Nothobranchius furzeri: one gene and its partners. The protein of the gene in region 1 interacts with the protein of each later gene in a pairwise test. Links are inferred from orthologs where the notes say so. Each region holds a gene or a part of one and is shown on either strand. Other genes may lie near its edges. The genes, in order: rpia, pcmt and stk16.

Evidence for each region.
Region 2: the proteins of rpia (region 1) and pcmt interact in binary tests that used the Homo sapiens proteins (3 or more experiments, as listed by UniProt). The two-hybrid records come from large-scale screens. The link is inferred for Nothobranchius furzeri from reciprocal best matches to the Homo sapiens genes RPIA and PCMT1.
Region 3: the proteins of rpia (region 1) and stk16 interact in binary tests that used the Homo sapiens proteins (3 or more experiments, as listed by UniProt). The two-hybrid records come from large-scale screens. The link is inferred for Nothobranchius furzeri from reciprocal best matches to the Homo sapiens genes RPIA and STK16.

The regions. Positions count from the first base shown.
Region 1 is NC_091758.1:5,545,178-5,553,744, reverse strand, and holds rpia (ribose-5-phosphate isomerase), read left to right. Parts: upstream 1-140; 5' UTR 141-287; coding exon 288-344; intron 345-941; coding exon 942-1,002; intron 1,003-1,176; coding exon 1,177-1,232; intron 1,233-1,466; coding exon 1,467-1,526; intron 1,527-1,598; coding exon 1,599-1,663; intron 1,664-1,759; coding exon 1,760-1,828; intron 1,829-2,872; coding exon 2,873-3,014; intron 3,015-4,099; coding exon 4,100-4,199; intron 4,200-6,224; coding exon 6,225-6,322; 3' UTR 6,323-6,538; downstream 6,539-8,567. Other genes in the region: eif2ak3 (eukaryotic translation initiation factor 2-alpha kinase 3), read left to right, coding at 8,554-8,567. UniProt on the Homo sapiens protein: Catalyzes the reversible conversion of ribose-5-phosphate to ribulose 5-phosphate and participates in the first step of the non-oxidative branch of the pentose phosphate pathway.
Region 2 is NC_091742.1:11,412,689-11,421,625, forward strand, and holds the start of pcmt (protein-L-isoaspartate(D-aspartate) O-methyltransferase), read left to right. Parts: upstream 1-4,573; 5' UTR 4,574-4,730; coding exon 4,731-4,911; intron 4,912-8,114; coding exon 8,115-8,219; intron 8,220-8,298; coding exon 8,299-8,330; intron 8,331-8,414; coding exon 8,415-8,519; intron 8,520-8,683; coding exon 8,684-8,804; intron 8,805-8,937. Other genes in the region: nucleoporin Nup43, read right to left, coding at 1,928-2,157, 2,450-2,566, 2,667-2,818, 2,903-3,038, 3,122-3,284, 3,384-3,461, 3,916-4,038, 4,254-4,367. UniProt on the Homo sapiens protein: Initiates the repair of damaged proteins by catalyzing methyl esterification of L-isoaspartyl and D-aspartyl residues produced by spontaneous isomerization and racemization of L-aspartyl and L-asparaginyl residues in aging peptides and proteins.
Region 3 is NC_091749.1:40,859,248-40,866,141, forward strand, and holds the end of stk16 (serine/threonine-protein kinase 16), read right to left. Parts: exon of another isoform or gene 6,828-6,894; intron 6,136-6,827; 5' UTR 6,095-6,135; coding exon 6,009-6,094; intron 5,883-6,008; coding exon 5,663-5,882; intron 5,585-5,662; coding exon 5,451-5,584; intron 5,349-5,450; coding exon 5,261-5,348; intron 4,604-5,260; coding exon 4,475-4,603; intron 4,366-4,474; coding exon 4,244-4,365; intron 4,045-4,243; coding exon 3,906-4,044; 3' UTR 1,345-3,905; downstream 1-1,344. UniProt on the Homo sapiens protein: Membrane-associated protein kinase that phosphorylates on serine and threonine residues. In vitro substrates include DRG1, ENO1 and EIF4EBP1. Also autophosphorylates. May be involved in secretory vesicle trafficking or intracellular signaling.

The DNA of each region.
Region 1 (8,567 bases):
GTTTTTTTCGCCATTTCCTAACTAGACGGGTTGGGAAAGTGGCGTATTGTGGCGATTTTGGCTTTCCATACAGGGAGAGACGGGAGTAGCGGGTTACGTCAGCCGTACTGTGGCGCGTTTCATTTGAGTTCGCAGCGGAAAGTGGGGGCGGAGCGGAGATAGTGGAATTTTTGAGACTCCAGAGGTGAGCGTTTCTCCGTAAACTCGCAGCTGGGGTTCCCACCTCTACGCTGGCCTCTCTCAGCGCCCTGAAGCACGTTCGTCTGTTCCGACTGTTTGCTGCTAACATGGCAGAAGAGGCGAAGAAGCTGGCCGCCTACGCCGCTGTGGATAACTACGTGCAGGTACAGTCATGCAACACCACGTTAGCTACAGTGCTAGCTAGCACGTAGCATGCTGCTGCATGGTTCGGGACTAAAACAGCTCTTAGATAGCAATGTTAGTATGTGCTAAGTATAGTTATATAACTTGTTGCAGAATTTTAAGCTACTTAGCATTAGCGGACATGTCTAAAGGTGTTGAGTTCAGCTAGTTTAGCTGTTGGGTAGGTGTTTTCTTGCTGCTATAGCTAATCACTGAAAGGTGTTTGTGTTTGTTTACTGAGAGTTCCTGCTGCCTGTTGCTACTGCTACAGCTAAAGGCTGTGTTGTTAATGTAGAGACGGGTGCTGCCCAGGAGTTAGGACAGTTAGCTAGCATTCTCCTGTCTGCTACCATCTGCACTGGAGCCATCCCTGAGCAGAGCTTCTTCTCATAGCTCCACAGTCCCTCAGTAGTTAACTCTGGTGAGGATGTAAATACCTCTCTGTTGTTGGACAGTGTGTCTCTGGTGTGACTGGTTACACACGGGTCATGTGTTGTTTGGTGATGGTTTTATTGGTGCTCACTAAGGGCTCTGCTGAATGTGAAGTGTCACATCATCATGTTTCCTCTCACCTGTAGAACAACCAGGTGATCGGAGTGGGAAGTGGCTCAACCATTGTGTATGCCGTGGATCGGTTAGGTAGGTAAAACCAGCGGAAACCTGGGTCTAACACATACACACACCTCAATCTGATGTAGAAAATGGTTTCAGATATGCTGTTGCACATAATGTATTTGACGTGTGTGTGTGTGTGTGTGTGTGTGTGTGTGTGTGTGTGTGTGTGTGTGTGTGTGTGTGTGTGATGCGTTGCAGCGGAGCGAGTACGTCAGGAAAAGCTCAACGTTGTGTGTGTGCCCACTTCCTTCCAGGTTAGTTCAAGCATCAGTCAGCCTCAGACCCTTGTCAGGGGAACTGTTACCAGAAGCTTTGTGAGGAAGTTGCTGCATGCAACTCTTGCTAAAGGTCTGTTGCTGTGATCCAGTGTTACTCAGTAGAACACAAATATCTAATGAATGTGCAGTAAACTTATGGTGAAGCTTGTCCACAATAAACTGTACTGAAGCCCTTTCCCATCTCTGCCCTTCCCTTTGTTCCTCCGGCAGGCTCGGCAGCTGATCCTGCAGCACGGGCTCACTCTTTCAGACTTGGACAGGCACTCCGAGGTATGATGTGTTTACAGCAAAGAGCTGCTGCAGAAGTTCATTTTTAATGCTGTGCTTTTTGCCCTGGCTCAGCTGGACATTGCTATTGATGGAGCAGACGAAGTGGACTCTGAGCTCACACTGATAAAAGGTGGTGGGTGAGTATGCAGTAAAAACACACACACACACACACACACACACCCCTCAGGCCCTGCTGAATGATGTTTCTCACTAAATGTTCCTCTGTTTGACAGCGGCTGTTTGACTCAGGAGAAGATCGTTGCTGGCTGTGCGAAACGATTTGTTGTTGTTGCTGACTACAGGTCTGTATTGACTGGTTTACCTTTAGAGTTTAAAGAGCAAGTCACCCCCAAGACTCGGCATCTGTGGCCTCGATCCACTCATGAGCCATTGGTCTGGAACGATGAGGCTCAGGGCTCCTCTCTTCCTCCAAAATTCTTCCTCCCTTTCCGTTCTTTCCTCTGGCGAAGGAGATGCAGATAAAACCTCCCATCACAATTGACTGCTCAGTGTTTCCCTTAGAAATTTTTGCAGTGCATGCCGGTTAGATTCGTGTCCGACTTGACGCCGACTTGCTCTGACGTCATGCATACGTAGGCAGCGATAACCTCGTGAGATCAAGGCGGCTGCAGATTTTGGAGCAAGGCGCTGCAGTTGCTCTCCACCGGCTGCACAACCTAGGGCATGGCGGGAAACGCCTGGCTCTCACCTGATCTAAGATCTGATTGGTTCCCATTTTGATCCAAACACCCTGTGGTAGAATGTGAAATGTTAGTTGGTCACATGTATTCTGTAAATCGTGTTACGTAGATGCTGACAACTATGTACGCCATACAGAGAAATGTGATTTTCCTTTACCACATTTCCTATAAACACTCTAAAAACCTGCAGCTGACAACCTTTACTTATTAATACAGTCATGTCTTCCTATGCACATGTCTACAGTATATGACATCCACAAGCACGTGAGGCTGTGGTTCAGTTGCTAACAGGCACCAGAATTTGACACTAGTATGAACTCTAGCGTGATATCTTCAGCCATCGTCGCCTGCATAAGGAAATGTGTCTGACTTAAACGCCGGCTTTCAGCCACTCCCCCTGCTGCGTCCGTCTGCTCTCGTCCGTTTTCCAGGTGAGGCGCTGCTCATCTCGGACAAAGCCAGTGCCTCCTTTTGGCTCAATGTTTCAAACAGGAAGTATGGGTGGAGTAAGACACTAGCAGGGTGGTGACTTAATCTTTAAGTTTTTGGATGGAGGGTTTGTTACCATCAAACTAAACAAGTCTGATTTGTGTTTTGGAACACTTTGTTGTCCTGTTTAACATTTGTGTTGATTTCATCTGTCAGGAAGGACTCTAAGGCTCTAGGCCAGCAGTGGAAGAAGGGAGTTCCCATTGAAGTTATTCCCATGGCCTATGTTCCCGTCTCCAGGATGATAGTTAGGCGCTTCGGAGGGGAGACTGTCCTAAGAATGGCTGTCAGTAAAGCAGTAAGGGACCGATTCACACACCTTCATTTTTTTGTCTTTCACGTTTTTTTCTTGACTGGAGAAGCAGAAGAATCTCCGGCCGCACAGTTTGATCAAGGTGTTGATCCTGGAATATCCAGGGGAGACCTACTCCAGCAGTTCTTCAGCACAGGTCCCACAGATTGTGTGTCGGCCACTAGTGATTTTCTTTCTCTGCTGTGTTTAAACAGACTAACATCTACAGGACCTGTCCTTCCACATTGTTGTATTTGTTGGGGTTAAATAATCTGCGGTAATCCTTCAGTGTCCTTTTTTAATTTGGTTAGGCAGTCAACTCATTACCCCTATTTCACACTGGAAGCATTAGCAGCTTGGAATGGCAGCGGATTGTCACGGCCTCAAATATAATTCATTATAGTCTAAAGTGGTGATGCCGACCAGCCGCGACGCGGGCATTTTCAGGTTTGTTCCAGAAGCGACATGCCACGCCGCTAAAGATGGGATCAGGTTCTTTACCACAAGTGGCTTCTGGGGCACATCAGTTTCTGCAGTTAGCATGGGGCAAGACAGGAAATCACACACGGTTTCAGTGTAAACCCCCCACCCCGGTATTTTCAAAATAAAAGACTATTACAGCAAAGTAATTTCATATCTATGTGGAGTACATCAATAATTGTGACGTAACGGCTTATTTACTCCCTGAATTGCTCCAGAAGTGCAGCAGTGTGTTTTTCATGGCTTTCGTTCTGCAGTGGAGAGGAACAACGTCATAAATGCTATCAAATGTCATTTCCTTCTTTTTGGCCAAATGGCGCATGGCATTAACAAAATGTGAACCATGAAGTATTGAAGGAATTTGTGATGTTGTGAGTCCAGTGAGGAGCACAGCGAGGAAGCCGTTCCGTGGCCAAGGCTCTCCCAGCGCGTGCTGGACCGCATTGAAGCTTGTGAGTAAAACGTTCCACGGCCATTCCGCGCTGCTGGAGTTTCCAGTGTGAAGTAGTGGTTAGGAACCCTCTGTAAAAGGAGCTGCCATGTTTGAAAAGACTATGCAGACCAAAGTGGTTGATGTTATTAAAGTCAGGTGGTGTGTTTGTGGATTTCAGGGTCCTGTCGTCACAGACAACAGCAACTTCATCCTGGACTGGAAGTTTGAGCATGGTCAGAACTGGAAGGAAGTCAACACTGCAATCAAAATGATTCCTGGTGAGGAACTTTTATACTGTTTACATCCCGCAGTGGTGTCCAGCCCTGGTCTTATCAAACTTGTTTTAGTTGTTTCTCTGCTCCAACACACCTGATTTTAACTCATTCACTGCCAATGACGACTAAAGCCGTCCTTTACATTTTTTGCTGTGTGGGCATCGGAACGAGCCCCCGCACCGTGAGAACAAACATCTCAGCTCTAAAGCCGATCTTCATCCTCATATGTCACACGTCACGTGACCAGGAAACAGAAACTCCACGTGTTAGGAGTAGGGTTGTCACGGTAACCGGTGTAGCGGTAAACCCCGGTAAAAAAGTTGACAATAATAATAACCGTCTTGTTTTTAAAAAACTACATTATCTCGGTGGATTACCGTGGCTGCGGTGTAGGCGCGGTGACCCTTACCAGCCACCGTATCATCTGCTGAAGTTGCCGGCGGCACATGCGCACTTTGTTGTTTACGACCAAAAGTTTCTTGAAGCTAAAGCTGAAATAATGGCCAAAGGAGGAGACGGCAGCGCTCAGGACATTTATTATCCCTCAGAGAAGACAAAGTGGGAAGTACGGGCATCTTTTGGATAATTGAAGAATGCCGAGAGACAGCTGATAGAAGACGGCTATCCTGTTTGCAGCACGTGCAGAAAAAGTGTCTGTGAAAGGCAGCAACGCTTCAAATCTCATGACACATCTGCGTGACCATCACCCACAACTCTACAGTCAACGCAAGGCAAGCTAACGTTAGCGCTTTAGCTAAAATGCGTGATCCGAGGATTTGGGTTGAGGGAGAATGCAACGAGTTGCTATATAAAGCAGCCGCAGCGCCGCTACCTGCATGTAAACCGTGTCGCGGACACCGCCATGTTGAAATGACGCTATGCATTACGGGGCTCCAGGGGCAGATAAGAGTTGGTCTCTCTCCGAGAATAATTATGAATTTAACAATGATTACTGCCTGATGACATTTTCCCACATCTGCAAAGCTCACTGGAAGGACACAAACCGAGGACAATATTTTCCTGATATAGGGTTTATTACTCAAGTAAGGGTAAAAAAGTATCTGATTAGAAGGCTACTTGAGTACTGAGTATCATCTGATCTAATACTTTTAAATGATGACATCAAACAGACACAAAATAAGAAGTTATGGGCAAATATTGGTATTTTAAAGACTACAGGGAAAAAAATGTAAACAAATAAACAACATAATTACAAAATAACACATTTTAGGCTAAATTTAGGCTAAATATATATTTTTTAAAAACAAGACGGTTATTATTGTCAACTTTTTTTTTTACCGGGGTTTACCGCTACACTGGTTACCGTGACAACCTTACCTGATCGGTCTGCTTTGATCTATTTTGAAAATTCCGATCAAAACCGATAGGGGCGCTATCGGCCGATTACGATCAAATGCCGATCCATCGGTGCATCCCTAAAACTGAGGACAATATTTCCTGACATACAGGGTTTATTTAATTGTGTGAAAATGTAACACGTTTTAAAAAAATACCGCGATAATACCGAAAACCGTGGTAATTTTGGTCACAATAACTGTGAGGTTACATTTTCACACCGTGACAACCCTAGTTAGATCGTTTTTGGGCCGCTGCTGTAAAGAAAAGTGAGGCGCAAACTGGAAAAGCTTCTGCCGATCACAATTGGTCAATTACAAAAACGGATTATGAAAGAACAGATATCGTTTGAAACGTGCAGATTCTCCCTGATGTAAGAGGCGAGTCTCCTCTTTGTTTTGGTAGTTTTTACGTCAACATTATCCTAGCGCGCAATGTTCTGTGCATCTTAAAATACAGTAAAAATGGTGAGAAACGCTGGCAGCGAAGGGCTTTACCGATCAGGAAATGGCTGGCAGTGAATGAGTTAATCAGTGGAATCAAGTGAATGTGAGCCGAAAAACCACTAAAACATGCTGGCTGGTGGGATGGGATAACTCTTGTTTCTGAGTTTTTGTGTAATGTGATAAAATAAAAATCCATGTTTACGTCAGGAGTTTGTGCGTTCTTTAGGTGTCGTAGAAACCGGGCTCTTCGTGAACATGGCTGAACGAGCATACTTTGGGATGGAAGATGGAAGTGTGCAGATTCGGGATGCTCCAGTCAACTGACCAGTTTGCCACACTCATGGGTAGTAGAGCTGCAACTAATGGGTTACCTGTTTAATAGATGACTCATCAGTAATTTTACATCCTGATGAGTCATCAGTTATTTAGGGGATTCCTGCTGTCTGTGGATCTACCTGTTTGCTCCACCTGCGCATGGCACCCTGAGTCTGCAGCATAAGATATTTCTACAAATTAATTCATGAGCAGTGAAACTGATGGATGTCCAGCCAACTGAACACCAGTTAGAGGTTTGCTCTGAAGGTTTTCACTGTAATTGCAAACATTTTGCTGAACCTAAATCTTACGGATCATACACTGACCAAAGCTACAGCCCTAGCTGTCGCTCCTTTTAATTGACCAAATCTGTTCCACGAGAGCCGTCGTCAGGAATTATTGCCTCAGAAAACACCAAAGCAAGAAGAAACATCGGAGCTGTTGACTTTTCCCGTCCATGCTTTTGATTTGATGAGTTTTAAGTGCCTGATGAGGAAAGTCGAGTCCTACTGCTGTAACAGAGAGCTTTGACTGGAGGGACGTATGATCGAAGTTCTTGTCTGGTGAAACAGTAGAATGAAATAAAAGCACGCCTTTTAAAAGCTCCCATTGATATTCTGTTTGTGTAATGAAGGACCAGTTTTCAGTTATTCGATCATTACAGTCCCGGTCACCTAAACCAGCATAAACTGGTGCAGCCTTGGAGAGTATCCTGGTTTGGTGTGACAGCGATAAACCAGAGGAAGCTTTCGGATAAGGAAACAACTGGAGGAAATGATGCCAAAACAAAAAGTGCAACACGAAACTTCAGGTCTTCCTTGAATCGTCTGCGAGTTTGAGGTGTTTTGCATGTATTTGTGTGTTTTCTCATGTGTTTTTTTTACCTCCACCTTTTAGCAGAAGTTGGGACCATGCCATTAGGTATAAGCTTATACCTGCCTTTATGTTACTATGGTGTTAGGTCACTGGGTGTCTAGAGCCACTTTACACTAAAGTTTCTGTTGTATAAACCAATGTCAGCTGCTGTTCCGAGCCTTAGATGTTTTTGTTCTACCATCTTTAACGTGTTCCTGTGGAATTGAACTAGTCAGTCATTAGGATCGAATTCTGAAGCCTCGGTGTTTGTTGGAGGAAAACAGACCTCAAATGTACTTGTACACCTTTCCCCTTTGTATGACTTCAGTGTTCAATGCCTGTAAAAGACTGCCCAGTGTTGTGCCATACTCATGCTTATAAAAGGATTGATGATTAAAGTGTCTGGCAGCAGTGTGTCCATGCAATCGAAAGGCCACATTTCCTGTGTCTGCGTTCGTCTCTCAAAAATGAGGTCTATTCGTGAAAACGTGGTTCAGGTCCATGCTCACCACGAGACAGCAGCGCCGTTACCTGGTAGGACTATAAACTCCTCATCAGTAACACGGGCACGTAAATGTAGGCTAGGAGCGTGGCTTCATAAACACGTTTCTTTGCTTGATTTGTGTCACAGTCGCTGCATTTTAGTGAAAGTGTAAAACTGAACTCGTAACCGGAAACAGGAACTGCACCGATTACTTCCACCGGGCCACGTTGTTGTTTTTCATGTCGACGGCTCTTGACAACTGCGTCTAAGCGACAGCTGAATTAACCAATCAGGTGCTCACATGAGGTCACTCGAAACTGATTTAGGCCAATAACATTACGTGATTTCATTATCTTTTCTGTCATTGGACGAACGACTAAACATCCGACCAATCTCAACAACCAAACAGATTTTGCCCCCGGGGACTTTTTACGTCACTTATCCAGTGCGCACGCGCACCTGTGACGAACAGGAGTTTAGCCAATGAAACGGAGTGTTTGGAGGCCGGTGTTTCCGGGTCCGCCTCTTTGAGTGACGGATATCTAACGCAATCATGTTGTGCTTAGTAAGCGAGGACGTGTAACTGACAGCGAAGTACGCAATGAGAAACGCGCGCATTAAAACGCAAGGCCCGTGCGGGTTTACGGTCCAATCCCGGTGTGGAAACGAGGCGGGATTTAGCGTTACTACGGAAAGTCTGGGTCTAGTATAAAGAGAACAACATGGTGTCCCAGAGGCTGTTTATGTTTACTTAAAGAGCTCGTTCAGCGGGGCGTCCAGCACGCGACACTTTTATAACCGTAACCTCGGCTCTTTTATACTTTCACCTTGTTTTTATACTAACTTTTACCAGGGCCGTGGCGTGTGCGTCTCCTCTTTCACTAATGTGCCAGTTCTACAAATGGAAAGGGGGCT
Region 2 (8,937 bases), on another chromosome or scaffold:
CTATGTGCTGCAGCGGAAAATATTTGATGCCAGTTGAAAGTGAGATAAACAAGCAACCAGAGTACACATAATGTTACCAAACAGGTTCAGCAAAATGAGATTGAGAGAAGTAATTAACAGAGCCCAACTTATTTCTTTACCAGAACGTTCCTACATATTTTACATTTCAGATCTACTTTCATTCTTGAGCTCAAATGTTAAGATATTTCTGCCATTTTTAAAATGTAAAGATATGAACATTTACTGTAAATTTACAGTAACAAGGTCTGTATACTATAAATAAAAATCACCACTGACTGTGCAAAACAACAACAAGGATTTCTGGGAATTTCCCCTAAATAAAACTAGTTATCTGTTTTTAATAAGCTTGTATTCCTAATGAAAAAGTCTAATTTGATTAAAGATCAGGTGTATATTTAAAGCTATTTCCACTTAGATCAACATAGAGCTCTGAAAATGTTTGGGTGAACTTGTGATAAGTTGAAAACAGTGAGGGAAACATGTGGAAAGTGATCATTTAGAAAAGTTTTACAATACAATTCGTTTTTAATCAAATTAAAACCTTCCAGAAAATAAAGTCTAGGAACACACACGTTTTCTATATTTTGTTCTCAATAATTAATGATCTGGAAATACTCAAAACATATAAGATACTTTTTCATGCCTCTCAATCCTTTTGTAAATAAATAACCTGTTTCTGTCACGCTTGGAAGTCATGTGTTGATAAAAAAATAGTTATGATTGTTTATCGTTTACTTTTGAGTGAAATTCGGCGTACGTAAATTTTAAGGTAAAAAATGTCTCGATTGGAACTGACTTCATTAAAAGACCCCATTCCGTGTGTATAGCCTCCTTAGCACTCTATGCTAACATAACGCTAATTTTACGTAAATTCTCCGGCGTTGGGTACGGATTTTTGTCACAATTAAACGTTTATAAGGATAGTCAAAAGAGTGGGCGAATACTGAGTTTAAGAGTTTTAAAAAGGATTAAAATCAAACAACACAGCAGTTTTCAAGCGGCCTGTGTGTAATAGGAATCCATTTGATGCTATTCAACAACAGGTTGCGCATTAGCCTGCTAGCTCCGATAACAACAACTCACCAAAGTCCGCCGCTGTCGCTTTTCCTATTATTAACGGACAGTAGTGGTTTGCTGACCCTCCTCGGCGTCGAGGACGCGATTTGAAGTTAAAATGCCCTTGTTGTTCCGCGCCGACTGGTTCCTAGTCTTGTTGAATTCCTGGGATATCTGAATGACAAGTACAACAGCTAAGCTAACGACGCACCATCAGACGCTGGACTTTCACAATAAAAGTCAGTGGAGAAATTACTTTTTTGCTAAGTTTAGAACAAAATAACACTAATAAAACTAATGAAGAAAATTTTAATGCTTTTTTTTATAAGTTTTTTTTTGCTAACCTGTTAATGAAGTCCAAACACATTTCACAGCACAAATCTTAGAAATAAAAAAATAAGAGCATTAATATGTATAAAAATAAATCAATTTCCCTTTGGGTGAGCACATAACATCTATTTGTAAATTTACAGAGCAACATAAGAGCTCACAAGGCTGACTTTGACATTTTTATGTTGGTAGGTTTGATTTACAATTTTACTTGATTTGTCAGTATAAAAAAACGTAACATCCTGAGACAATTTGAGAAAGTTACATTTTATTTCTTTATTGTTTTTTAAGTAATCTGTACAAAACATTATTAATCTGAACAATTGTGTACAGAATGACATACAAAAACACTAATCCATATTCTGTCACTGCAAAGAATGAAGCATTGCATCAGACACAGAGGTCTTTCATTGCGTAGGTATATTGGCTTTTTGTGTAACAAAAAAAAAGTCTTCCAATGTGTCACAAAACATCAAATTAAAATTTGCATTCATGTATTTATTAGTCACCTCCAGATCTTTTAAACTGGGACCTGTTTGTTGATAAAAATAGCCTCTCCATCAGTTCCACAAACTAAGCACTGTCCAAGCACATCCAAGCTGTTGACAGACAGCGTCTGGCTGGGCAGCATGTGGGTCGTCTCCAGGCGGCTTTTACTGGAGTCTCCGTTGAGCCAGGCACTGATGAGGGACTGGTTTCCTCCAGCAAGGGCCATCGCACTGCGAGAGGTCACGCTGCTGTTTCTGCTACCTGGAAACACAACAATAACACTTTTTACAGTGAAATTACGACAAATAGTACAACATGACAATGTTTAATAGACTGACCTGGTGTTGGACATTATCAGGAAATTCTTTGTTTATTTAACCCTAAATAATGTAAACTTTCAGTAAAACATTCAACTGGATATTTTCTTGATTATGGCTTTTGTGTTTCCATAGAATCTTTATAATTAAGAAAATAGAAGAAGTACATAGGCAGCCTTTTAAACTGAATACCAATAATAATAATAATAATGATTATTATGATGAATAGGACTTGCCTTGTAGAAAGGAGGGCATGTCTGAGTGGGAGGACGTCTCCCAGTGCAGCAGCGATCCATCCTCTGAACACGTGAACAGGTGATCTGGGTTGGTAGGGTGGAAGTGGACCTCCCACACTGCCAGGAAAGTTAGACAAAAAGCATTAAAAAAGTGAAAAATATTTAAATATGTGTGTAAATTATATGTCCATTAAATAATTAAAAATGTACATCTTACTTTCAGCTGAGTGGGCCTCCATGAGGGATGAGGGCATGCTGCCTTGCCTCACATCCCACATACAGAGCATTCCATCCTGGCCTCCTGTGGCTACAATGTGCTGCTGGTTTGGATGTCTGTCAATGCAGTACAAAGGAACTCTGTCTCCTGACCTGATTGGAGGAAAATTAAAATCCACATACATCAGCAAAATAGTAGAATTAAAAATGGGGAAAACGTGCTAAAGCGGATCTTACAAGGACAGAATCTGTGATGCCGAGTTGCTCTGTTGTCTTAGATCCCATAGCTTTATTTGTCCGATGGAGTTCACAGTCAAAATCTCCGTCGTCCTCAGGTAAGTCACAGCATGAATCGTGCTGCTGTCAGCATTCTCTACCAAATGTACCCGCAAAAGCATGTTGACTTGACACCGAGTTAAAGTGTACAGAGTTCTGAATGGGGTGGTTTAATCTCACCTATGACTTGAGCCATACAATCCTGGTCGGCTCTGAGGACAATAATCCTGCCGTCCTCCCCAACTGTGATGATCTCAGGGCTGCTGCACACAACTGCAGTGCAGGGAGCATTGTCACAGGGGTAATGGTGCGCTTTCACCCACTGCTGGGAAACTGAGATTGTCTGATGTAAGAAGAAAAAATGATTTTATAAATAAACAGCAAAGGCAGCAACACAACCTTCATACAGGAGTTGACATCTTTTATGAAAGCTCTACTGCACCTGACTGTTGTGATGGTGGCGGAAGATGGTGACTGCTCCCGTTGATGAGGCCGTGACGATTCTCTCTTGATCCAGGAACTATAATCAAGTAGTATAATCAAGTCTAATTTGGAGGAATTGGACAGCTGAAGCTCGACTAAAACTGAGTCATGCAAAACAATGTCCCACGCACGTGTCAAAATTTCAACAGAATGGCTGCAAAACAAATGAGTCTGTGTTGCAAATCCTCCTGCTGACTATAACAAGGCTGTGCACTGAGAAATCCTGCAGACCTACAAAGAAACAAAACTATTGATGCATAGAACAACAGATTTGCCTTCTGTATTAGCAAAATTCTGAAATGCGCAGAAAATGTACTTTATTTGTTTTTATGTGCATCTCTGCAGGGTTCATTGTTGTTTTAATTTCTTTAAAGTGCGTACAGCACTTTGGTCTGTCTTCTGGTCGATGTAAAGTGCTTTATAAATAAAGTTGATGGTGATGAATAATTGCATTATTAGTATGTTATGACATTATTGTTACAGCGTCTTACCTGGAGGCCAAGAACATCTCCATCGTGCTTGTTTTCACAAATAAGCTGCGGATCTCCTTCAAATCCATCTTCCAGGCCCGAATTTTCGTAATTACCCACGGACCAAATAGATATCTTGTTTTCCTACAGAAATAATTTTTTTTTTAAATAAAGGCCACATCCTTGCAAAAAAAATGACCAAAACGAACCTGACAGACACACAAAAAAGCAAACTATGTGTAACAAGTGTTAAATCCTTTTTGACAGTTACAACGTGTAAGTGTGCATAATCAGGAGAAACACAGAACATTTGAAAAACTGGGTAAATTTGGTTCACCAAAAATATTCAACTAGCCAACCTCGTTGTCCCACGATCCCGTCGCAAAGATTTCTGGTTGTTGTAAAAACGAAGACGACACAGGACGCCATCTGGCCTTGCTGACTTTTTGGGACACGTACTTAGCACTCTCCATGAGAACAACCAACGTTTCTGCTGCCTAAATACGAAAAATATTCTTATTGATGTTAGCTTAGCTCTATGTACGCACCCACTAGCTTTAAACGTAAGTACGGTGGCTCAACAGGATCAAACAATCTGATCTGCGTTTCTCGCAAGAAATGTGAATTTGTACATTCCGCCACCTAGCGGTCGTCTCCGTTGTTACTGCGGCAAAAACCTGATAAAGCACTGCATGGCTGAGGAACGTGGCTTTTATTCCCTTTCGTCTGACGCTGACTTTGATGCATCATGAACAGATTAATTATATTCTAAAATGACATATTTTTCTGCTTGGTCGTGCATCTGAGAGGCGGCTCTGCTCTGTAAAATCATTTGGATGTCTAGTGACGTATCCGCCGCTACGCCGTCTGCTCTGGAGGTTGTCAGCTTCTTTGGTAAAACTATTGGCGCAGGCGCGGCACTTACAGCTGCTGTCTACTTACTCCGTAAAGTCTGCTTAATAATGGCCTGGAAATCTGGAGGAGCCAGCCACGCAGAGCTTGTCAACAACCTTCGCAGTGAGTCCGGTTGCAGGTTTAAAGCGGCAGCAGCGATGAACTTCACCGCCGCGTCGCCAGAAAACGTTGTAGTTTGGAGGCTGGGGTTAGCTTAGGAGCGGTAGCTACTAGCAAGCTATGTTTATGGTGACCCAGCGTCTCCTCCCGCCTCTCCACCCCTTTTCCTAAACCACGTTTTTCGCTGTGGGACCATGTGTGGGACAAGGCAACGCTTTTGTCACAGCAGGGGGGAAAAACCCAGCAGAAATGACATTTCCGTTTTGTTGTAAATCGCAGAAAAGTGGTGTCCTGTGGGAAGTTAGCTTAGCATGTTAGCAGTATGTGCGTCATTTGAGATTTTATGCTACTGCCCACTGTCATTGATGTCTGTGTCTTCTACTGGACTTCAATGTGAATGACAGTAACAGCTGTACATGTCCGGATAGTTTCTGCTGAGCTTTAATACTCGGATACATTTAAATAATGACAAGTTGCTGTATCACTGCAGCTGTTAGCTACATAGCTCTGTGCCAAAGCCCACGACTCATTTCCATTTAAGAAGCCTGATTGTTGAACATTTTCAAATTTCTGTGCATATATTTTAGCTGATGTCTTTCCATGGACATTTAATATCCTTTCACAATATTTTAATAAGAAATCGATCAACCTTAGTCGATCTGCAGAAATCAAAACAGTTTCTTTATTGTTTGCACACATTACAACCTGCAAAATGTGTTTTAAATTATCAAACAAAAAAGTCAGAGTAATTTTGAGAATTTTGTAGGAGGGTGTGCCTAGCGTCAGCTTGGCTTTCTGGGCTTATAGACACGACCTATTTTTCCAGTTTATATCTAGTTACCAGTTCAGATCTTGTTTTTTTATATTCTAAATTAATAAAAGTTTATTCATGTAACCAGCCTGTCAAAAAGACAAACTATGAAGTAAAGAAAACTGTAATGCTGGCATAGAAGTAGGGATGTAAAAGTCAACCGAAACCAGGAACCGATACCAATGCAGTTGCCTGAAAGTGGCTTCACCATAACTTGTCATTTCTGTTCACCTAATATTTCAGTTTTGTGATCATTTCTATGAATATATTTTATTTTTTATCTACCTCACAATCTTTTCCTGTTGAAAGCAGAGAAGAAAATAAAACCTGTATTCCAATTCATTGCATTATTTGTGTGGTAGAAGTATCGGCGAGTACTCAGATCCAAGTATCAGTATCGTATCGGTTTGGACAAAAGTGGTATCGGTGGATCCCAAGTATGCTAAAAGACATACAGTGTCATTTCCTGGTTCTCCAGGACAACAATCCAGCACATTTTAGACATTTCTGTTTCAACACACCTGATTAACAGGTTTCTCTGGACCTTGATGACATGTCTAAAAGGTAATATAACCACTGAAAATCATTACAATAGCAAAAGCATCCTGGTTATTGTTCCAGGAAGACCAGGATTGGACACAACTAGTGCAAGAGGAACCCCTGACAATTGTCTTTATGGTGTTTTTGTGATCAAATAAAAGAAAAAAATGTCCTAACACCTTCTGTTGCCTTTGCAAAATACTGTACATCAGTAAAAGATGGATGACTTAGCTGTTACGTGGTCCAGAGTCCACTATAATCAACATCATGGCTTCCTCTGCAGTCAGTCAATGATGACTACTGTAAAAATATCTTTAGACTCTTTTTCTAGTGCATTTAGCAAATGAAGATGGGATATCTGCAAGCGCGATACTGCAAATTAATTCTCACTCTTAAGTATCTACCAGGTCTATTTGTATTGTGTGCAGTCTGGGATGTTATTGCAAGCTGCAAGTTTGCCAAAAGCTGCGTTGTTATTCACTGTGTTATATTTTCATTTATAGGGAAATTAACGTAAGTTATACAGAGTTTACATTTTTAGCAGCTCACAAGTTTGCAAAGCTGTGCAAAAATAACATTTATTAAATTGAAAGCCTTTAAAAGAAAGTCGTTACTTTGATAATTTTTAAATCAAATTGGTTAATCTTACAAAAGCAGAAGCATAAAAATAAACAAATAAAAGGTTTGATTCGTAGTAATCAGTTTTTCTTTTCTCTTTTTTGCCTCTTGTGGTCTGACCTGTATAGACATTTAACCCAGAGTTTGCATAAGATGCTTTTAAAGAGGTCACATGCAGAACGCATGCTAATTCACCGCTAACTTACTTTCCTGGTAAATAAAGGCAGTTTGGACTGTCTCCAAAGCCTCACCTGTTTCACTGGGCTGCCTCCAAATTTTAACATAAATAAAATCATGGTGGACAGCCAGCAAATAAATTCGTGTTATTTTTTTATTTGTAAATATGAAAGAAAACGACAGGAAGGAAGCAGCTCAAATGGTTTATTGATCATTTAAATGTCAGAAATCAGTGGTGGGTGTCTATTTGGCAGTTTTATTTGGAGTGTGTCCTAAAGCTGCGCGTTGCTCCGTGGGTGAGGGGAGCGAGGAATGAGAACCGCCTGCTGTTGGCTTTTTCTGTTTTTGGCACAAGGTGCTGCAGTGATTGAGGATGGATTCAAATTTGAATTAATCAACAGTTTTTGCATCCTTTCGGCTTCTTTTCAGCTCCAAACACGGATTATTAACTTTGTGTGGTCGGTGCAGCCTGTTTTTTAGCTGCTGTTTATAGTTTATCTGACATGTCCACAAGAATTGGTCTTGGTTTCTAGTTGGGGGTGCTGTAATATGCAAATGTATGACTTTTCATAGTTTTTCCCCCTCAATTTTCAAGAATAAAGCAATGATATCTTATTGTATTTTAGTGAAAATGTGTTCAATTTTTGCATTTTTTCAGTATCTAAATTATTACTTTTATAAATGTTTTATTCTGTTTTAGATTCACCTGACTGTCGTTAGCCACCAGGGGTTTTTGCTGTAGGTGTTGTGGTTAGAGCTTTCTCCCACATTATGTATTCATTTATATAATGCAACACAAATCGGGTGTTTTTTTTTAATGGGGGAAAACGTGTGCACAACAACACATCCAGTTTGGCGCTATGCAGTCGTTCTTATTGAGTTGGTGATAATTCGCAGTGTTGAACGTGTTGCAGCGCCCTCTAAGCAGCAGCAGCAGTAATTGTGGTGGTTTGTTTCTTTTCTGCATCAACCCTTCTGCCCTTCGGCTGCAGGATTATGTAACGTCTCTCTGCTCGCGTTTCCAGAACACGCCGTGACACAAACTCTTTTGCATCCTCAGAAAATGGCATTATTAAGTCCGACAAGGTGTTTGAAGTCATGCTGGCCACAGACCGAGCGCACTACTCGAGGTGTAACGCATACATGGACTCGCCACAGTCTATAGGTAGGTGTGTTCACGGATCATCGACGCGTGGCAGTTGGACATCAGAGGATAAACTAATCCTTCCTTCTTTTATCAACAGGCTATCAAGCAACCATCAGCGCACCGCACATGGTAGGCTGTTTCTGCACTCTCAATCTTCTGTTTTAGTTAAATTACCGAGACTTCATTTGTGCTTGCCCCCCACCCCTCACCCAGCACGCCTATGCACTGGAGCTCCTACATGATCAGCTGTGCGAGGGCGCCAAAGCTCTGGACGTCGGCTCCGGCAGCGGGATCCTGTCTGTTTGCTTTGCACGAATGGTGAGCCCACACACATGACGGGTAAACACATACGAGTTCTCCTTGGCAGCGCTGTGATGTGTTCGCTGAACCAATCGCTGTAGAGGATTTAAGAATCACGACGGTTCGAATTGACGTTTTGAGCTTAACACTGTCGTCTTCTGGGCTTTTCTTTCCTTTTCTAGGTAGGTCCTAAAGGAAAAGTTGTAGGAATCGATCACATCAAAGAGCTGGTAGACGATTCTATAAACAATGTGAAGAAAGATGACCCCAGCTTGATAACGTCAGGCCGAGTCAAGCTAATAGGTAAGATGGATTCAGGATTAGAGTTTAATTTGGACTTTTTGAACCTGCTGAAGAGCGTGCGTTGCTCCTTACCGGTGGAAAATCTCCCGTTTGCCCGATAGGCCGTCTGCAGCGCTAAATAATTGAGCAGAGC
Region 3 (6,894 bases), on another chromosome or scaffold:
CTGAACGGGAATGTTTGTATTCTGATGTCAGGCCTGAAGTCTGGGAGCTAGACACATTGGTGTGTTTGCGCCTGGAAAGGTGGGAAATACTGTTGAATGTAATTGCAGTGAAGCGTAACATTTTGTTGATCTGAAAGGTTGTGGGGGTTGTAAATCCAGACACCTGAGCAGCTTGTTACCAATGTGTGTTTCCAAACACACACACACACACACACACACACACACACACACACACACACACACACACACACACACACACACACACACACACACACACACACACACACACACAGAAAATACACTACTGTCAGCAAAGGGCAGTGATGGAAGAACTGATTGTGTTGCTGGAACATCTTTCCACAGTGGAACTGCTTAGTAACCTCCTGAGAGAAACTACTGCCAAAGAAATGGAATTTAATTGATCCCATTTGCGTACTTTGAAAACTTAATTTACACTTAACAGTATTTTGGGCTTTGCTAAAGTCTTCTTGACAACATCTCAGAGAAATACCAGATCCCTAGATTCATTATTGCTTTAATTAAAGGAAACATATGCAGTTTTGGCTTGCTTTTAGCACCCCCTAGTGTCCGTTAGTAAAACCAAATATGAAACTCTTCTCCACATGCTGAGAGCTAGCTTTGTAGCTGAGCATCAGACCGCCAAGACCCCTCCTTCGGCTGCAGCCTATCTCACACTGCACCCAACTTCTTTGGCCCCTCCCATGAGAGCCCCACCAGGCGCTCGCCAACGCGCCACAACTCCAGAGGGGTGACACATTTCCGGACAAGGGAAAACTGTTTCTATATATGGTACTCGTCATAAGGGGTCTGTGGGCTTAGTTTGTCTGATCCCTCTCCTAAGACCTGTTTGCCATGGGTGACCCTACCTGAGGCATAAAGCTTCAGACACCTTAGCTCCTGGGATCAATGGGACATTAAAATCCTCCACCATGGTAAGGTGGCAGCCCAGGTAAGAGCCAGTTGAGGTGGCTAGGGCATCTAATTAGAATGCATCCTGGACACCTCCCTGGTGAGGTTTCCCCGGCAAATCCAACCAGGTGGAGACCTAAAGGCAGACCCAGAAAACACTGGTAGGACTATGTCTCTCTGCTGGCCAGGGAACACCTCGGGATTTCCCCAGAGGAGCTGGCCCAAGTGGCTGGGGGAGAGGGAAGTGTGGGCCTCCCTACTTAGGCTGCTGCCTCCATGACCCGAACCCGGATAAGCGGCTGAAAATGGATGGATGTATGGATAACACAGCTAAAACGACAGCTGATAATGAGTTGTAGCTGGTTTTGAATAAAGATGTCATTAATTTATAAAGACAAACTTTGAATGAGAATCTTTAAATATTTGAAGCGATTTTATTTCACAATTATTAAAAAGTATACAGTACAAGACTGCTACATTTTTCTTTATACACCAATTACTGTGCATCAAACAGATAAAGGTTTAAACATAATAGTCAGTCTTCATCAGCAAACTCATATCAATATCAGTAACTTTACAATAGTTCTTCTCACCAGCCGCAGTAAACCAGTTTTACTTTAGCATTTACAAAAGCACAAGACTTTATATCCACTGGTCCTCTCCAAACGTTGCATCTAAAAATATTTAAACTCTTTAGTCTGCTTTTCAACGATCCAGGCCGAGTTCAGCCACCACATGGTCCAACTGCACCGCATCACAGAAGCTTTAAACTTAAATGCCCAAAACATTAGTCGTAAAAGTACCACTAACGTCTGCTAAGAGACTGTTTGAGATGCAACTGTGCCCTGAGAAAACAAAAGTGTGAAATCCTCACACAACATAAAGCCATTAAACTTGAATAGTTGGAATGGGTTATTACACTAAACTGCTCAAAAACACAATAAAACCAGAAGTAAAAATGTTACCCTTTCATAAAATACCATCTAACATTCTTTAGCTGTGCAATAATTACATTAGTCTTTCTTTTTTGTTGTGGAGGAAAATACTTTTGTGTTCAACAAAATCTTACTGTGACTGCAGTCTGAGCAGAAACACTGGGAGAAGCTGGAAGATACACAAAAACGAGGAATCGAGGTGAAAAAAGGAGTACAAGTAATTTAGGGTTGGGTATCGTTTGATTTTGAATGATTCCAATTCCTCGTTTCGATTCCGGTTCCTATCGATTCCCGATTCCGATTCTTTCAAGACGTGACATGCTTTACATGAGCCAGCTAACCACAGGTCCTACTTGATGAAATAATCTTAACTTCAACATGAATTTTAACTCTATGAACAATAACATCACCTTCATTTAGACAAAAACGTGTTTTGGAGAAAAAAAAGAAAAAGACTTTCAGCACAACCAGTGTGTTTGTTTCTGACCACAACCAAAGTCTGGAAGAAGCCTCTCCAACATATCCAGAAACGTCCAGCTGTTTTCAGCTAAAACTCTCAGGATGATCATGTCCAGGATGACTGAGAACTACACCTCCATGCTGCAGCAGCATTCAGTCAGAACAGGAAGTGAAACTTGAATGTAGCTGCTGTCAGTAACAATCTAACAGATTTTAAACATTAAAACTCAACAGAAATTGTTCAAAAAAGTCAATTGAAATGTTCACAACTTTGTGTGTGATTTATTATTATTATTATTATTATTATTAATATTTATTGTGGCAGAAGCTGGTGTGGTCCACCACAGAGAAGCTTCTTTAGCATGATGACTTTAATTATTCTACATGTTATTGTTCAGCCTTCTGATGCTCACACACACACACACACACACACACACACACACACACACACACACACACACACACACACACACACACACACACGTTGGTGAGTAGCTGTGTCTGACTGCTGACGCTCCGTGTGTGTTTGTATTTCTGCAGTGAGACAAACTCACCTCACATCGTCCAGAATTTGTTCTTTAAAGCTTCTATTAAATCCACCGTGTTGACGTATTTTAACAAGTTTCCTCTACGCTGCAGGAGTTAAAGTTTACATCACGGAGTAAAACTTCGGCAGACGCGTTTGTTTATATTTGGCCGCTGTGCGCCGGGTGGGGGGAGGGGGGACGCGGTGCTGCACACAGACAGCTGGTGTGATCAGCTCTGAAAAGCGTTGATCACAATTTGCAGATCACGTTTATTTTTCAGGGAGATCGGCCGCGGATTCCTCTTCCGTCGGCATTCTAGGAATCGAACAAAAAAACTTTGAACGATTCCGGGAAAAACTAACAGTTTGAACCGGTTCCAATTGATGCTCAATGCCCAACCCTAACAAGAATAAAAGAAACTAAACTGTACTCCTTTTTTAGGGAGCGCAAGGTAATATGTACTAAAATGTAGCATTTATTAATGAGAACATTAGCTAAAGCGTTAAAATCTTCCCTTCATCCCTGTAAAAACAAAGTAGAATATTCTAAAGCTCGTCCTTGAACAGGTTCCATCTTTCTGGTTTGTTTTTTTGTACAGGCAAAGCCAGAAAGACATAACATGGCAAGTGACTTGATCAATAATATTTTAATCATATTTAATAATAAAATGCATTGCTTGCTGTTTGAAAAGCCAGTGAGTATGTTCTCTTCCAGTTAAACAAAAGAGAACAAAACGAGTGATTTTAGCTCAACACGAACGCCTCCGTCTTAGCCTAACAGAACACCCGTGTTTATTTTTGTTTTATTTGCTCAAAACATTGATAACAAATTAAAACTTTCTACTTTTAAGGCTGAATTTCACTTAAGGCGTTTCATTTAAATCGGTTCAATGGGAACAAAAGACAAAAAAAGGCGATTTTTCAAGCTGAAAAGATAAAATATCCACTCTTTTACAACAATTTAAATATAATAAGATTTTAAAGCGAAATTAGGAAACGCTGACTGAAGTGGATAAAAGAGTCCAGAGCTCAGGATGTGGTGCGGTGAGCAGAAGTCAGACCATGTTGGTCTGAGTGTTTGGGCTGTGACTCAGCAGGTCCTGAACCTGGTCAAGAACCCAGACAATGTTTGGTCTCTCCTGTGCATTTGAGACCATTATGGAGCTCAGCAGCACGCGGAGGCCCTCTGAGTACCTGGAAAAAACAAACACCAGGTCAGAAACCGTCATTCTATGTTTACTTGAGATTTCATTTACTTTTCACACTTTTATTTTAACAATCACCAAAAGAAGCAGCAGCAGAACAGCAGAATCAATTTCCCTCTGGGATTGATAAAGCATTTTTGAATTGGATTGAATTGAACCAGAGAAATCAGGGAAGTTTGAATTCTGACCTGCAGGACGCTGGGATGGTCACCGGGTTCTGGACAGCCAGAGCAACACTGTCCCCTTTCTGAAAGATCAGGTCATATGGTCCCTCTAACATCATCATGCAGTACAGTACACAGCCAAGCGACTGAAGGCACAGGAGCGGATCAGTCAGGAACATTCCAGCTCACCCAAGATGTCAGTGGTGTAAATTTATATAAACAAAAACAGGGAGGAAGAAGACATGAAGTTCTTACCCAGATATCAGTGCGCTCATCTATAATGCAGTGGCTCTCTACGTTGAAGAGCTCAGGAGCCCTGTAGGAGATGGTGCACCGCTGGGCTGCCCAGTCCTGGACGGTCATGGCTTCTCTGGATCCTCGGACCTGAAAAAATTTACTTGCATCAAATCACTCACAGCATGAGCAACATTTAAATCTATTTTCCTGATTTTGAGAGGAATATTTTTTTTGAGAGACAAATAAAGTCTAATTTCTGGATATCTGACACTCAGCTGGGTTGTCATCACTAAGAAAAAATAAAATACCACAAAAAATTAAACTACAAAAAATTTAACAAAAAACCAAAACATCACTGGATCTCATGTTTACATGATATTTACTTTGACACATGAAATAGACAAAGAACAAGTGAACTAGGAAAAGCGACAGAAACGAACTTAAAACACAACTAGTTTAATATACGATGCTGTTACGCTGCCATCTAGAGGTGAGAAACAAGAACTGTCAGTTGAAAGAATACTCAGGTATTTTCTTACATCTGCACAAGGACCCTACTGTCTGGCATCACTGTTTTCTTCATTTAAAATCCCCACTTTATTCAATTTTAGCATGCCCAAAAAATTAAGTTAAAACACAATTTAACAACGTTTAGTAAAATTCTAAACTTTCTGGAATAATAAAATTTGTAATTGGTTATTTGAATTGTTATTTTGTTAAAATTTGTTCTCAACTGCTGACAACAGTGAGAAAACAGGTGATGATTTAAATAGTCTGTAGAAACTAATGACCTGTTCCTCTTACCTCAATTCTTGCGCGGTTCATTGAGCCCAGATCCATCAGGAGTGGCCGGTCGTCATCGTCCAGCAGCACATTAGTGGGCTTCAGGTCTCTGTCAGCAATTTATTTTTGTCTTAATTACAAAGTTACACAGTGGGTGAAGAAGTCAATGATCACAGGTGCTCTTCAGAATATTTTAAAATGTAAACTTTACCTGTGGGCATAGCCTTTATCATGAATGGCCTTCAAACCGGAACAGATTCCACGGAAGATTTTTAAAATCTGTTTTTCAGGCATTAAGCTCCCCTTCTCTCTTAGCTTCTCCAAAACAGACCACAGGGTTCCTTTCTGTTAACAAACATACAAAGGAGTCAGAATGTTCCTTGAGACATCTTCGTCATCAGGCAAACTGCTGTAGCAACTCACTCTGATGTAAGGCAGAAGTAACCAGGCTTCAGTTTTCCCTCCACCTTCAACAAAGCTGTGTGCAACCAGGCTCAAGATGTTGGGATGATTGAACATCTGATGCATTTCCACCTCTGTCTGTGCCTCCTGACGAGCTTGGCGATCATGACATAAGATCTTTTTCAGGGCATAGAAGTGCCCATCCTTTGCCCCCTCAACCAAATCAACAAAGCTGAAGCCGCTGAAGAGAAAGAACAGAAAGATCACATGTTGTGCTCCATTTTAAAAAAGGGGTGAACAAAAATCAATAACATTACCATATACAAGTATGAAATTGTAAATCAGTAGAGAGATCTTGTCAACTTACCCTTCATCTAGTTTCTGGACAAAGTAGTATTTTTTGCTGTCAATGGTGATGGAGCCACGAGAGCACACACACAGGGTCTGTCCCATGTTGACTGGTGCATTGTTTAACCCAACATTTTCAAAAGGGCCTGAAAATAAAATAAAACTATCAGATTGGCGTTCAATGCTGTGCCAAACTGAATTATTGTAATATTTTAAGGTGGTTTCTGATCCTACGGTCTTTTTAAGAAAGTATCTGTAATTTCTACGGACAATGTTTTTAAAACTTAAAAAAAACTGTCATTGATTTTTTATTTCTGATTTAAAATAACACCAATTCTACTTGACTAGGAGCCCTTCTAGGTTTATAAGCTGCCGATAGAGCCACTTATGTATGAGCTGACCCAACCTCCCACCCAAACTTGGACTTCCTGACCAACCGCCCTCAACATGTCCGACTGGATAACCGCTGCTCATCAACAATCACAATGAACACTGGTGTACCACAAGGCTGTGTGATGAGCCCTTTCCTCTACTCCCTTTTCACCCACGACTGCAGACCTGCTGATGGTTCCAACACCATCATTAAGTTTGCAGATGACACCTCGGTGTTTGGCCTCATAAGTGACAACGATGAGACCGCCTACAGGGAGGAGGTGGACCGTCTGACTGAGTGGTGCGACACAAACAACCTGCTGCTCAACACTGAGAAGATTAAGGAGCTCATCGTGGACTACAGGAGGAATGCTGACCCACATCCACCCATCCACGTTAAGGGGACGGCAGTGGAGCGTGTGAGCAGCTTCAAGTTCCTGGGAGTCCACATCTCCGAGGATCTCACCTGGACTACCAACTGCTCCAAGCTGGTCAAGAAGGCTCACCAGCGCCTCTTCTTCCTGAGGACTCTG